2 linked regions of the Danio rerio genome follow. The protein of the gene in region 2 interacts with the protein of the main gene of each other region in a biochemical or structural test. Links are inferred from orthologs where the notes say so. Each region holds a gene or a part of one and is shown on either strand. Other genes may lie near its edges.

The links.
Region 1: the proteins of eif4g1a (region 2) and eif4a1a form a complex in vitro, tested with the Homo sapiens proteins (3 studies listed by IntAct, with this or other methods). The link is inferred for Danio rerio from reciprocal best matches to the Homo sapiens genes EIF4G1 and EIF4A1.

What each region holds. Positions count from the first base shown.
Region 1 is NC_133182.1:26,544,870-26,551,772, reverse strand, and holds the start of eif4a1a (eukaryotic translation initiation factor 4A1A), read left to right. Parts: upstream 1-2,342; 5' UTR 2,343-2,384; coding exon 2,385-2,407; intron 2,408-3,751; coding exon 3,752-3,800; intron 3,801-4,229; coding exon 4,230-4,362; intron 4,363-4,658; coding exon 4,659-4,798; intron 4,799-5,114; coding exon 5,115-5,283; intron 5,284-5,408; coding exon 5,409-5,518; intron 5,519-6,267; coding exon 6,268-6,411; intron 6,412-6,477; exon of another isoform or gene 6,478-6,616; intron 6,617-6,699; coding exon 6,700-6,837; intron 6,838-6,903. Other genes in the region: senp3b (sentrin-specific protease 3b), read left to right, coding at 1,039-1,149. UniProt on the Homo sapiens protein: ATP-dependent RNA helicase which is a subunit of the eIF4F complex involved in cap recognition and is required for mRNA binding to ribosome.
Region 2 is NC_133177.1:19,188,133-19,194,334, reverse strand, and holds part of eif4g1a (eukaryotic translation initiation factor 4 gamma 1a), read right to left. Parts: intron 4,926-6,202; coding exon 4,774-4,925; intron 4,695-4,773; coding exon 4,602-4,694; intron 4,520-4,601; coding exon 4,441-4,519; intron 2,611-4,440; coding exon 1,906-2,610; intron 1,821-1,905; coding exon 1,732-1,820; intron 1,574-1,731; coding exon 1,402-1,573; intron 1-1,401.

The sequences.
Region 1 (6,903 bases), on a different chromosome or scaffold from region 2:
GGTCTCTGGGGTTTGGATTGACATGAGGGTGAATAATAGGGTAGATGCGAAAGTATTCGGAAGGACTTTTAATTTGTCAGTTACCTGGGTCAATCGTTTCCAGTAAACTGTATTCAGTTACAAAATAGGCGCGTTTGAGGTGTGTTTACTTTCAAAATCAGCGATCTCCACTGCCTGACTGACATCTGTTATAAAGTGGGTCTCAGATTGTACAAGAAGCACTGCATTAAATTACATTTTCCCTGCCATGTCTTTAAAATATGAACATTTATTTTACCCCAGTATATTCAATGGAGCTTCTGCGCTAGCCTGCTAATACTGATGGGCGCGTGCATGTAAATCATCTCGTTTTACGCTTGAGCAACTAAATGAATGACAAAGTCTTTTTAACTGATTATATTTTAATTACATTACAACATCGATGCTGTAAAACCGTTCACCGGATGTTTATCAGTATGGGAAGAAGCACTAGCTCTGCATATACCCTATTATTGACGAATGTTAAATTTTTGAGTGAACTAACCCTTTAAAGCAGGGGTCACCAATCTCGGTCCTGGAGGGTCAGTGTCCCTGCAGGGTTTAGCTCCAACTTGCCTCAACACACCTGCCTGGATGTTTCAAGTATACCTAGTAAGACCTTGATTAGCTTGTTCAGGTGTGTTTATTTAGGGTTGGAGCTAAAATCTGCAGGACACCGGACCTCCAGGAACAAGTTTGGTGACCACTGCTTTAAAGCACAGATGTCAAACTCAGTTCCTGGAGGGCTGCAGCTCTGCAAAGTTTAGTTCTAACCCCATTTAAACACACCTAATCAAACTAATTGAGTCCTTCAGGCTTGTTTGAAACCTACAGGTGAGTGTGTTGGAGCAGGGTTGAAACTTAACTGTGCAGAGCTGTGGCCCTCCAGGAACTGAGTTTGACACCCCTGCTTTAAAGTGTTTGAAGAAAAGAACTACAGTGTTGAGATGCCTTTTTTTCAGTTCTACATTGAAGATTCACCCTTTCTTTTTCTCTTTATTTTCTCCACCTTCTTTTTAGTATTGCAAGTGTCTTGCATTAGGCCAGCCCTTCAGCTTCAGTCAACAGGACATGCCCAAGCTGAGGAGAATGATGTACAAAGAACTGTGTCATTGCAAACTCTCACTGTGATACTCGTGTCAAGACTGCACAGCCAGTGAGGGAAACAAAACAAAAAAAGATACATTTGTCCAAAAAGCCTGAGAGACTCCACACTGAGGAAATTTCATCCTCAAGTCACTTGTGTTTTTGTTTTGTATAACTCTTCTGTTTGGTTTCGTATTGGAGCCCAACGCCTTGACTGAGACACCGGAGGTTATTAACAGTTGACTGCCAGGCAGGCCCTTGTGTGTTGCTGCCTGAGTCAAACATTCTGTGTTGGGTTTCATTTTTTTGTTCTGCGCATAAAGTTGTTGCAAAACTCCTAATCAGAAATGTTGGCATGAGAGTAACTGTGCTAAAATGCAAGTAACAAATCATGTCTGCCGTTTTGTTTTTAATAAATCATCATGCGAAAATAATAATTGATGCATTCATCAAGAATTACATGCTTTTTTTTGTCACTTAAATAGCCCAATTTGTTATGATGGGTTACTGAATCACCACACTGTTTACTTTGTACTGTGCTCATCCTTTCTTAAACTGGAAGTAATACCAGTAAGCTGTTTTAAGCCTTCATATTTGTAAGAACTGTTAAATGGGAACAACAGCTGTGAATCATAAATGACTCACTTTCGACATTTATGCAGAGGAAGACAAGACATTGGGCAATAAGGGAGGGTTGTCCTGTACTATCTTGAAGTCAGCAGCAAATTATTTGACCCAGTAACATTTTACATTTGACCCAGTAAGATTTTACATTTGAATGCTGTCAGAACCATTTTGAAACATTTCAACAGCGAGTGACATAAATAGTAAAGGTACTCAAATATGTATGTCCATTTAAACCCATCATAAAAACAAACAGGTCTTCGTATTGTCATTTAACGTTATTTACGTTAGCATATTCTATAAAGAAATGGACTCAAAATGTTTTCGACGAAAACCTGTAATTTGTGCTATTTTTTTATACGTGTAGTTGGTTTACGTCATTTAAAAAGGTATTTACCATTTAGAAAGTATCTTTCTAAGCATCACATTTCCTTTGAAATTTGTTTTAAGTTCCAGTTAGGATTTTTCCCCATTTCGTGACGTCTATGAATAGGCGCTTATGATAGGGCGGTGCCAATCGTTAACTAACCAATGAGAGTTGTTACTGGGCGGGACTACAGGCTGACTGAACGGCAAGACGTCCAATCAATGGACTTTGAACATCGTCACGGTTTAAGTATTTGCGCGTTTCCGCCAGTCTACAGTCCTTTGTAATAATGTCGTCTGAACATGAAGATAGGTAAGATAACGTGTTCGACGAATGTTTTTTCTATCTGTTAAAATATTGATTATTTATGGAAAACAATTAGGAATTCTTATCGATTTAAGATGTATTGTAGTAAAAGATTGTTCATTAGCGGTTTAAAAACTAGCATTATTTGCCGATTTGGCATGTTCGTGCTCGCCCTGTTCCCGCCTCGTTAAAATCGTTTAGAAAAGTGTGTTTTTAATCCAGTTTCCTGCGATTTTGTCGTTTTGTTTTAGGATATCGTATTGATGTTAACTAAAAAGTGTTTTAAGATGAATTGGTGCCATATTTTCGATGTTCCGTTAAAATGCCGGTTCTTGTGACGCAACGTGTCTCACGCGCTGCTTCAGTACATCGTGTGACCGGCGCGTCCATGCGGCACATGGCCGTTTCATTTCCCTCGTTTTGAACCGATTGCGGACATTTTCAACATTCATTGTTATGTACTCTACTCGAGAACATTGTTTCGGATGCCATCCATTATTAAAACCGACTTTGTTGGCAGATTTAAGCCCTCAATCGAGAGGATATGTATGGCACATGGCCTTTCATGGGCGAGACAATGGAGTGTGGTCTGGGAGTATAACGTTAGGCCTAACGTCAAGGCCTGTTTTCAACCATTTCAAACCAACTATTTTCTAAGATTAAAATTTTATAACTTTAAAGGGTGGTATTTTTATGGATTTAAAAAGAAGCGAAGCGGTGTCGTTGTTTAATATGTAACTTGATATACTGTAACTTCATAATCGAGAAACATGCGTGTTAATTAAATGGTATATCAATCTGCGTGGTTATGCTGTTTCGTGACGTTTTTTATAAGATTGGATGTTGTAGTAATAGATTAATGTTGAATATGCGAATGAATGTGTCTCGGTGGAGCCACGTTGGTAATGGCGCTGAGCGAAAATGGCTGCCTCTTGGTAACGTAGATTTCAGAGGTTGCTATATCAGTTTCTTTAAGTTCTGTCTCAGTTTAACTAAACAATAATGAACATCGAAAAACAAACCTGTCGGACCCATTTTTATAAAAAGTAATGTTAGGTGGAGTGACAGTCTCCGTCACCGTTACTTTCAGTATGTGGGAAATGACGCAATGAAAGTGAATGGAGATTGACTGTGACTATGCCTCACAGTCTGAGCAATTTTTTTGGGGGGGGGGTGGGTTTATATATATATATATATATATATATATATATATATACATATATATACATACATTCTATGCAGTAGTAAAGTTCAGTTAATGTGTTCTTTGGAGATGTTCAGATTTTGGCACTGAGAAATTAATTTTGCGAAATGAGTTGTCAATGTACTAATTACAACCTCTTATTGCAGACCCAGAGACAATGGCCCGGAGGGGATGGAGCCAGATGGAGTCATTGAGGTTGGTGTCTCTTAAGAGCCATTTCACCTAAAGTATTTATAACCACAATATTGTATACGTCTTTGTGTCTATGGATAGCAGGAATCACTATAGAATAAAGGTAGTAATTAGATACAGATATTACATATAACTAAACATAGTGGGTCATGAATTCCTTATCTTTGATCTGTCCACAAATTTAAATGTAAAATCAGGGCTTCATGTTATTTCGAGGCGGTTATACAATTTATAGAGGCTACAGAAGTCCATATATACTTAAATCTTTTTTTTTTTTTTTTGCAATAAAAATCATAGAATACTCAACAAAACATTATGCAACCCTGAAATAAAGTAATAAAATAGTTACTTGTAAGCTATTTATATTCAGGTGCAAAAAATGAGTTGTCGTGTGTTAATAATAATCAACTATAAATCACATTTATTTTACAGAGCAACTGGAAGGAGATTGTTGATAGTTTTGATGATATGAACCTGCGAGAGGCACTTCTCAGAGGAATCTATGCTTATGGTTTTGAGAAACCTTCCGCCATTCAGCAAAGGGCAATCCTCCCTTGTATCAAGGGTATGTAGAAATGTAACTATCCATCTATATTTGCTTGGCATATTTACTTGAACGAAAATATTTGTTTATTCACGCCCTTATCATCTGGGCAAGGCTGTGTCTGTCAGTGACACTCTGACCTATATCTGGTAAGGGCAGAGGAAATAAAGCCCATATTCATCCCAGTCATCTCAATACAGTGAGGCATAGACTGTTTCATGGTATGGGCACAAACTGCCTCGGCATACTCCTTGAAGGCTTTAGTGAGTAACCGACTGTGAAACACCAAATAATAATAATTAATATTCTCTCTATAGGTTATGATGTCATTGCACAGGCTCAGTCCGGCACAGGAAAGACTGCCACGTTTGCCATCTCCATCCTGCAGCAGATTGATGTGGAGCTGAAGGCCACACAAGCTATGGTTCTGGCACCTACCAGAGAGCTGGCCCAACAGGTGCGAACCATTTCACATTCAACACTAGGGACACAAGATAAAGTCTTGCAAATGTTTCAGTTTTATACACGTGTCCCCTATCATCTGGGCAAAGCTGTGCCTGCCAGTGGCACAAAGCTTATATCTGTTAGGGGCAGAGGAAATGAAGGCCATATTCATCCCAGTCGGCTCAACGTAGTGAGAAAAAGACTGTTTCATGCTATGGGCACATACTTGTCTTAACTTGACTCATGAGCTCAGCTAGTTTCAGATGCAATGAATGTTAAATGGGATTGATCTCTCAAGCTGATGCAGAACTCTCTTCTGTTCTCCTCAGATTCAGAAGGTGGTCTTGGCTCTTGGAGACTACATGGGGGCAACTTGCCATGCCTGCATTGGGGGTACCAATGTTCGTAATGATGTTCAGAAGCTTCAAGCTGATGTGCCCCACATAGTGGTCGGAACCCCTGGCCGTGTGTTTGACATGCTCAACCGCAGATATCTCTGTAAGTACTTGATTTGGTTCATCTTGATTTCAAGTCTAATTCTAGAATTTGAGTTTTGTTCTTTTTTTTTAATTCTATTTAATTGGCTAATTTGCGTTTTTTTTTTTCTTTCACCTCTCCTCCAGCTCCTAAATATATAAAGATGTTTGCCCTGGATGAGGCAGATGAAATGTTAAGTCGTGGTTTCAAGGACCAAATCTATGAAATTTTTCAGAAGTTGGCCACAGACACTCAGGTAAACAAGTCTATATTATTTTGTGTGCATCCACGCCAAAGTTCCCTCACCTGCCAGCGCTCTGTGCTGTGATGGGTATCAAGTTCTTTGGTAGAGTGAAGTAACTGCTCTCCACTATGATTGGGCTCTTCAGTCCCTGTTCATAACTATTTAAGCAGCTGACATTAAATTTAAAAAAAAATATTTGTTTTACTTTTTACTTCATAAAGGAAATCCAACCTGAAGTTTCACACAGAATTGTAAGACATTTTAAGAATCGATTTGATCAAGTAGTTTTTACCAGATGTCGTATTGGGCATACGAGAATAACACATGGTTTTTTGCTCCAAGGTGAAAACCCTACTCGGTGTTTGTGCTGCAAAACTCCTCTTACTGTAAAACATATTTTACTGGACTGTCCTGCTTTTACTGATTCCAGAAAGACTTTTTATGAAATGAACTCTTTTAAGGACATTTTTGACAAAGTGAAACCAGAAAAGATTTTAGAATTTTTATCATGTATTAACACACATCTTAATTTGTTTTATTTTGTTTGTTGATTTTTAAATTGTATATTTATTGTTGAAAGATTCCTGCCATGAAGATAGCCTTGGTTGCTGACATGGCACTAAATAAAAAAAAATACATACATACTTATTAAAGGTTTGAATATGGCTGCTTTTTGCTTTGATCAGTCCAACTATTAATCTTTATGGTCTCAATTTATTTTGAGGCCTGAACCTAATAGAGGGTCTTACCTTTTTTCACAGGTGATTCTTCTGTCTGCCACCATGCCTCAGGAGGTGCTGGAGGTGACTACAAAGTTCATGAGGGATCCCGTTCGTATCCTAGTTAAGAAAGAAGAGCTGACCCTTGAGGGTATCCGGCAGTTCTACATTAATGTTGAGAAGGAGGTGAGTTGAGAGGAATGTGAGCTGTCATGTTTATGGTTTGCAGTGATTAGTGACAGTTATAAGGCTGTTTTGTGATGATCCCCATGCGTGTCAACTGATCCCAGACTCCCTGCAGTGCTCAATGTCTGATGAGCGTTTTGCTCAACAGTGCATTTTGAGCCTGTAGGACTCTGGGAACTTGATCTTAACTTTTAAATCTGAAAACGGCACTACTTAGTGGTTAATCTTAAATATAATTCAATTAAAAGAAAAGTATCCTTTTACAGAGCAGTTTTCTCTGTATTACAGGAGTGGAAGTTGGACACATTGTGTGACCTTTACGAAACCCTGACCATCACTCAGGCTGTAATCTTCATCAACACTCGCCGGAAGGTGGACTGGCTAACTGAGAAAATGCACGCAAGGGACTTTACCGTTTCTGCTCTGGTAAGTGAAAGGTTTTCTCGAATGAGGATTTTCAAAACCTGGTCAAACACTCAAGCAAACCCCTTC
Region 2 (6,202 bases):
CACACCATCGTCAACAAAACACCATCTTCAGCTAAAAAGAAAAAACCTTCTGCACATTTCGGCTATTCACTTATGCCTAGTTCAGACTGTGTGATTTTAGCCGCGATTTCGGCTCGCCCCAGGTTTTGAGAAATCGCCGACAAATGCCTGAAATCACAGGCAAATCGGTGCTCGTGCATGTGAGTGCCAATCACACAGTATGAACCATCAAAGATGCGATCTGAGAGAATCGCCGATGAGTCAAATCATGCCGTACGTATTTGCACAACGTATTTGAGGACCGGCAGGGAGACACAATTTCCGGGAGATTATCATTCGTTTGCAGGCATTCGGTAGTCTCTGTGCATTTGCGGAAAACTCCCAGAACTTCCGGGAGACTTGGGATGTCTGGAATGACCTTCCACCCTACTCTTAATTCTCTCTTCGTATTGCCATATGCCTATTACATATCCATAAAACACTATGAAATTGCCGTGCTTGGATCATATCGCTTTCTTACTACAATCGATCCGCTCCAGAGTTCGTTTCAATCAAGCCGAGACCACCTCATTCAGGTGATCTCGGAGCGATTGTTTTGGCGCGGATCCGAGCGCAATTGCTGGATTTACATATGCCAAACGAACCATGCTAACTAGGCAATGGAGACAGGTTCCGAAATAAAAGTCTAGATGTGAAACCACCCTTAAACTACAACTTTGAGGGGGGGAAATGGTGGCAAAGTGTTTGCTTTGAACAATAACATTTTACTTAAAATGTGATTTTTTTTTTGTGAATACTGTGATGTTTCACATATGCATTTAACAGGTTAAGTATTGGCGCACAACATGACATGCAAAACAATGAATGTGCGTAGACGTAGTGTATCTCTTTACAAAACATATCACTGGCAAGCACACAATGCATAATTTGTAAATTATTAAATTAGTTTTAACGGGAATCTTTTTGACAGCAGTTGATTGTAAATGTAATTAATCAAAAACGAAATGAGTAAGCATGTAAATGTATTTTAAAGTCAAGTCTTGATACATAAAATATCAAGTTCTAAGTTAAGGTAGGTTAATGGTCATTTTTCACCCCTATTCTCACCAAATTATACCAAACTTTGTAATTAAAATTTGCTTGATTCAAATAATAAAGGTTTTGTCAGCTCCTAATTTACATGTTATTATCAATTCTAAAGGATCATATGATTGTGGAGAATAGAAAAAGGAAGCTGAAATTTTTCCTTTAGTTTAAAACATTGAAAGAAATTAATAAATAATATAAAACTTGACCAGTTTTACTGATCGGATAAAGACTTTATCAACGCAAAACAATGCTTTAAAATTCCCCCCTGAATTAAAGCGCTCCTATAAGAGGATGAGTGATCTTTAATGAAGCTTATTTAACTTTGCTTCTAACCTTCTTTATATTGATATTTCTGTTCCACAGGTTTAGATGCCTCTGGCTCAATATTTTCTGTGTCGAGCTTGTCCTCTTTTTCCTCCCATGTTTCATCTGTCTCTTCCACTGGTGGGGCTGGGGGCTCTTTCTGAACCACCTCTGGCTCAGGAGCTGGCTTCTCCTCCTCTGGCTGAAACGGGTACACAAGATTCTTAAATCAAGATGCACACACACAAAAAAAAAAAGAAAAAAAAAAGAAAGAAAATAAAAACGTAATAAAAAAATAAATAAAAAAAAAAATCACAAAAGGTGCTACTGTAAAAACAAATGTATAATGACAGCACAAACCTCCTTGAAGGCATCTAGAACATCTCCAACATCCTTCTTATTCAGATCCTTGATCTTCTTTTTCTTCTTTAGCACTATTGGGGAGGCAGCTAGGGAGACAGTAACTAGAGTCAAACTTGGAAAGGAGATAAACAAATAATATTCTTTACAATCCTAATTTAATAATTTACCAACCTTGCATAGTTGTTTCTTCAACAAGGCAGACTGGTGCAGGGGTGGGGGCCTCTTCCGCTTTCTCCTTTTCGGTTTCCTCCACAGATGCTTTAACAGCTGTAAGGCAGCTCTGCTGGTCCTGTGGAACCACTTGTTCAGCAACTGGATTAGCGGAGCTCTCTGGCTTTACATCTGGAACCTCTGCAGAGTCCTGGGGCAAACCGTTTAACAAAGGCTGTTCCTTTGGCTCATCGGCAGCCAGTTCTGGAACGGGCATCTCTGTGATTACAGGGGCACCATCACGATCTTCAGCTACATTAGGAGAAGACTCCACCGCACTGGAGGCGACAACAGCTGGACTTGAGGCTGCTGTAACTTCTGTTTCAGCCACAGGTTCATACTCTTTCTCCTCGGCTTCCTCTGGCTCCACAGGAGCACAGGGCTCCTTGGGCTCCTTCTGAGCAGAGGCTTCAGGGAGCACTGGAGCATCCACACTGTCTGCAATTTGAGGCTCTGAAGTTTGGGGATTGTTTGCAGGAGGAGGAGAAGGAGAGGGTACCACAAGATCCTCTTCTGGAGGACTGGGAATCTTGCTCTCTGGTGAAGCAGGTCTGACTTCTGACTCGGGTTTAGAGTCGATGGATGAAGGTGCTGGGGGCTCTGGTGTCTTACATGGAGGAGGGGTGGACGCAGATGCAGGACTTACCATGGCCTTCACTTCATCATCTGAAGATCAAGCAGAGTAAACATTATTAAAAATAAAAATAAATTCTCTAACCAAAATGGATGGTTGACAAAAATGAAAATGATAAAAATGACAAGCTGCAGAAATTTCTTAAATTATTACACTGATGTCTGGAATACTCAATTCTGATTGGTCAGTTGTGACATTCGAAGGTATATTATTCCCAGTTAACAACCGCTGAATAGCAGATGCTCATTTGGTAAACTTCAAAATCACCATGACCTGTGTTCACATCCATATATTAATATCCAAATTAAAGTGTTACATTATGTAACACCGCTGTTTTTGACTGTTTGGCCCCATCTTAAGAATGAATAATACATAGGTTGATCTATGCTCCATTTAACCAGTTTCATTTCTGCTTGGTGTTTGGTACCATCTTGTGACTGAACAATGTGCAAGTTAGTTCCATCAGCTCTAGTCAGCTGTTTTAGTTTCTGTCAGCTTTGCTTTAGTTAAATTAATAGACTGTTATGACTCAGAACAATGTTTTGTATCAAATGTTTTTGTTTTGGGGCAATAAGCGAAATAAAGTATGTCAGACTGTTGTTTTTGTCAAATTAAGCTCTTCAGTCTTCTACAATCAGTCTTATCTACTGTATCAGGCTGCTGCTAAGCCTGTTAGTAAAACTGCAGATTGATGGTAACATCTAAGCCCCACAGTAGTGACAATACACCACTGAAGTAAATCTTTGCCATTAATTGTACTTTTAGCAACATTTTTAAAATAAATACATTTAAAATAAGTGTTTAATAGAAAACAATGACACTTTTACAGGTTTAACTTTTTTAAATTGGTCTGGAACACAGTGAAAACTCCATCAACTCAAAAGTATGTTAACTCTGAAATGAGACTCTTGGTTTTCCGTTTTTAAATGGCAGGTTTGGCAAACTCAAGAAAGCAGGGTAAGCCAAGCCTGTTTCTGAAAGAGAACTTTTACTCAGACACATGAGTGCACATTTAAATCCATTTAAAAACTCAATTTTAGAAATTTTATCCTAAACTGATCAATGCGAGTAAAAGTGGGAATCTTAAATTAAACATTTCTGAACATCAAGTTTAGGTTATATGCATTCTTGTTTTGTCAAATTTGCAGTAGAAAATATGCAGTAGCCTATTTTATACGATTTAATGCAATTACGTCTGAAATTACTTTCAAATTACGGCCAACTCCCCACTTTAAGTGAAAAGTCAATAAACGTCACATTACATTATTAATTTTTTATTATTCTTCAATATTTAAATACTTTAAACGTAAACTTGCACAATAACTTAAATAGCTATGTTTTCCACACTCAGTCTCTGTTTCGCTGATACAGTGGTGTTGCTTTTTTTTTTTTTTTTTTTAAATATATGGTTGTATTTGTTGCATGAGCACATCAGGTTCAGCTGGAGAAAAATGCTGATCTCTTTTTTTTCAGATGTTGCCATGGTGACTCATTATCTACGCTCCATTGATAATACCTTTTTATAATTGCAGTGTGCACGCTTAACTCTGAATCAGTCTACTCAGACTTGATTGACCCAACTCCTATCCGCTTTTCTGAAACAGAACTCTTAAGTTTTTAATCTCTTAGTAAGTCAACTCAGTTTATAGATTTAAACTTCCAGTTGGTTCAACCTCCTTATTGAAACATTCCTTATTTTGAGGTTATTGATGCATACGCAAGTGGATAAATCCAATCTATCAGACATGGAAATCACATTTGAAACTTGCCACTTTTTTCAGGATGGAAAAACAGTTTTGGCAATAATGTACTTTTTTTGCTTGTTATTATTATTATTATTATTATTAAGAATGTATACTCACCAGTGCTGATCTCAGCAGGAAAAGTTGGAACGCTTTCACCATTGGTCTGAACTGGACTTCCCACTTCTGTACCAGCAGTCTGGAAAAACAAAACAAAACAATGAACTCATTGTAATATAAATGAGCATGGCATAATGAACAAAAGCATGAAAGTGTCAAACCTGTGGAGGAGTTGGTGTGGAAGTCGTTCTTCCACCAGACATTATCTCCTCTGTGATATCACGTCCACCCTGGTTGGGGTCACGTATCCTTATCTGTTAAGCGGCATCAGGTAAGTGACAAAAAAAAAAAAGTACTAAATCGAAAAACACAGCAAAAGTCGTTTCCACCCACCTGTTTGCGTTCTCTGGGTTTGACTGGCCCTGTCGGCTGTGGAGCAGCTTGCTGTGGAAGTGGAGCCTGTTGCTGCTGAGCAGGGTTCATCATCACAGGTGTAGGAGGCACTGGCGTTTGGTACTGCTGTGTTGCAGGGTAGTAGGCAGCTGCTAGACCACAAATAAGGCAAAAAAAAGACAAGATCAGACACCAAGATAAGACTTTTTGCTGTAATGGGAGGGGGACCCACATGCAAAGTACCCCCCTACCCTGTAAAATCACTTCCAGACTCCCTGAGGAAAACAAAGAAAAATCAATATTTCATTAACATAGCTTCTTTCTATTCATAATAAAAGGCTAATTCACCCAAAAACTGTAATAATCATCCTCAGGTTGTTTTATACACTCAAAACTCTAATTCATCCTTAATGCCACTCCATTGAAGGGTCCAGAAAGGTAGTAAAAATTGCGTTAAAAAATGCAGGCTCACAAGAGCATTTCTTGTACTACTTCCTCGATACAAGACAGCACCACCACGCATTCGTGCTTTGTTCACACTGGAGCTGAGGTACAGGTAGGGATGCAACGATATAGATTTTGGTTGTACGATTAGTCTGAGAAATAATCATGGTTATCATGATTATTATGCATTCATTCATTTCAAAGTAAAAAAAAAAAACTTAACATAAAAACTCCTCATATTTGAAAGAGTTATTTATTGCTGCTCAGTAACTAAATACAGCACAAAATAATAATAATAAAAAAACAATAGTCCCTAAAACTATTTCCCTTTTGACTTAGAAATATGTGAAAACTAATTTTTGGCATAAAGTAATAAATTAAGTAATAAAGTAATAAATTAAGTAATAAATTTACACTGAAAATAAATGACAGAACAATGAATAAATGAATAAAAATAAGAATAAATAATAAAAATAGTCTAATGCAGGGGTGTCCTAACTCAGAGCTAGTTTAGTTACAGCAGTTTGTTCCATGAAACGTGATGTTGAGAAGCCTTTATGATTATTAACCATGTCAAATTAAAGCACGGCATCTCTACATACAGGAAGTGATGTATTGTGTAATAACACAATTTGTGGCACTGTTGTGCACAAAGTAGAAGTTGTAAACGTCAAAAAATAGTTTCTTTTTTCACCTCATTGCTTCAGAAAATTATTTGAACCCTCCACTGTTTGGGCAAATAGGCTCATTTTGTAATCCTCTACAGTTAAATAGGTGATTTTTACCATTTTTGCTTCCAGTCAGTCAATCTCTGGGTCTGGTAATTATTAATATTATTAATATGATGAAAAGTGGAGTGCTCCTTTAAAGCTGAGGTATCTGAAGTCACAAGAACTGCTTAGAGGATGCTTTCACTTCGTTTCAGGAACACTGAAGTGGCAGTGTCATAGGCTGTGTCAATGGAGAGGAAGAAATCTAGCAGATC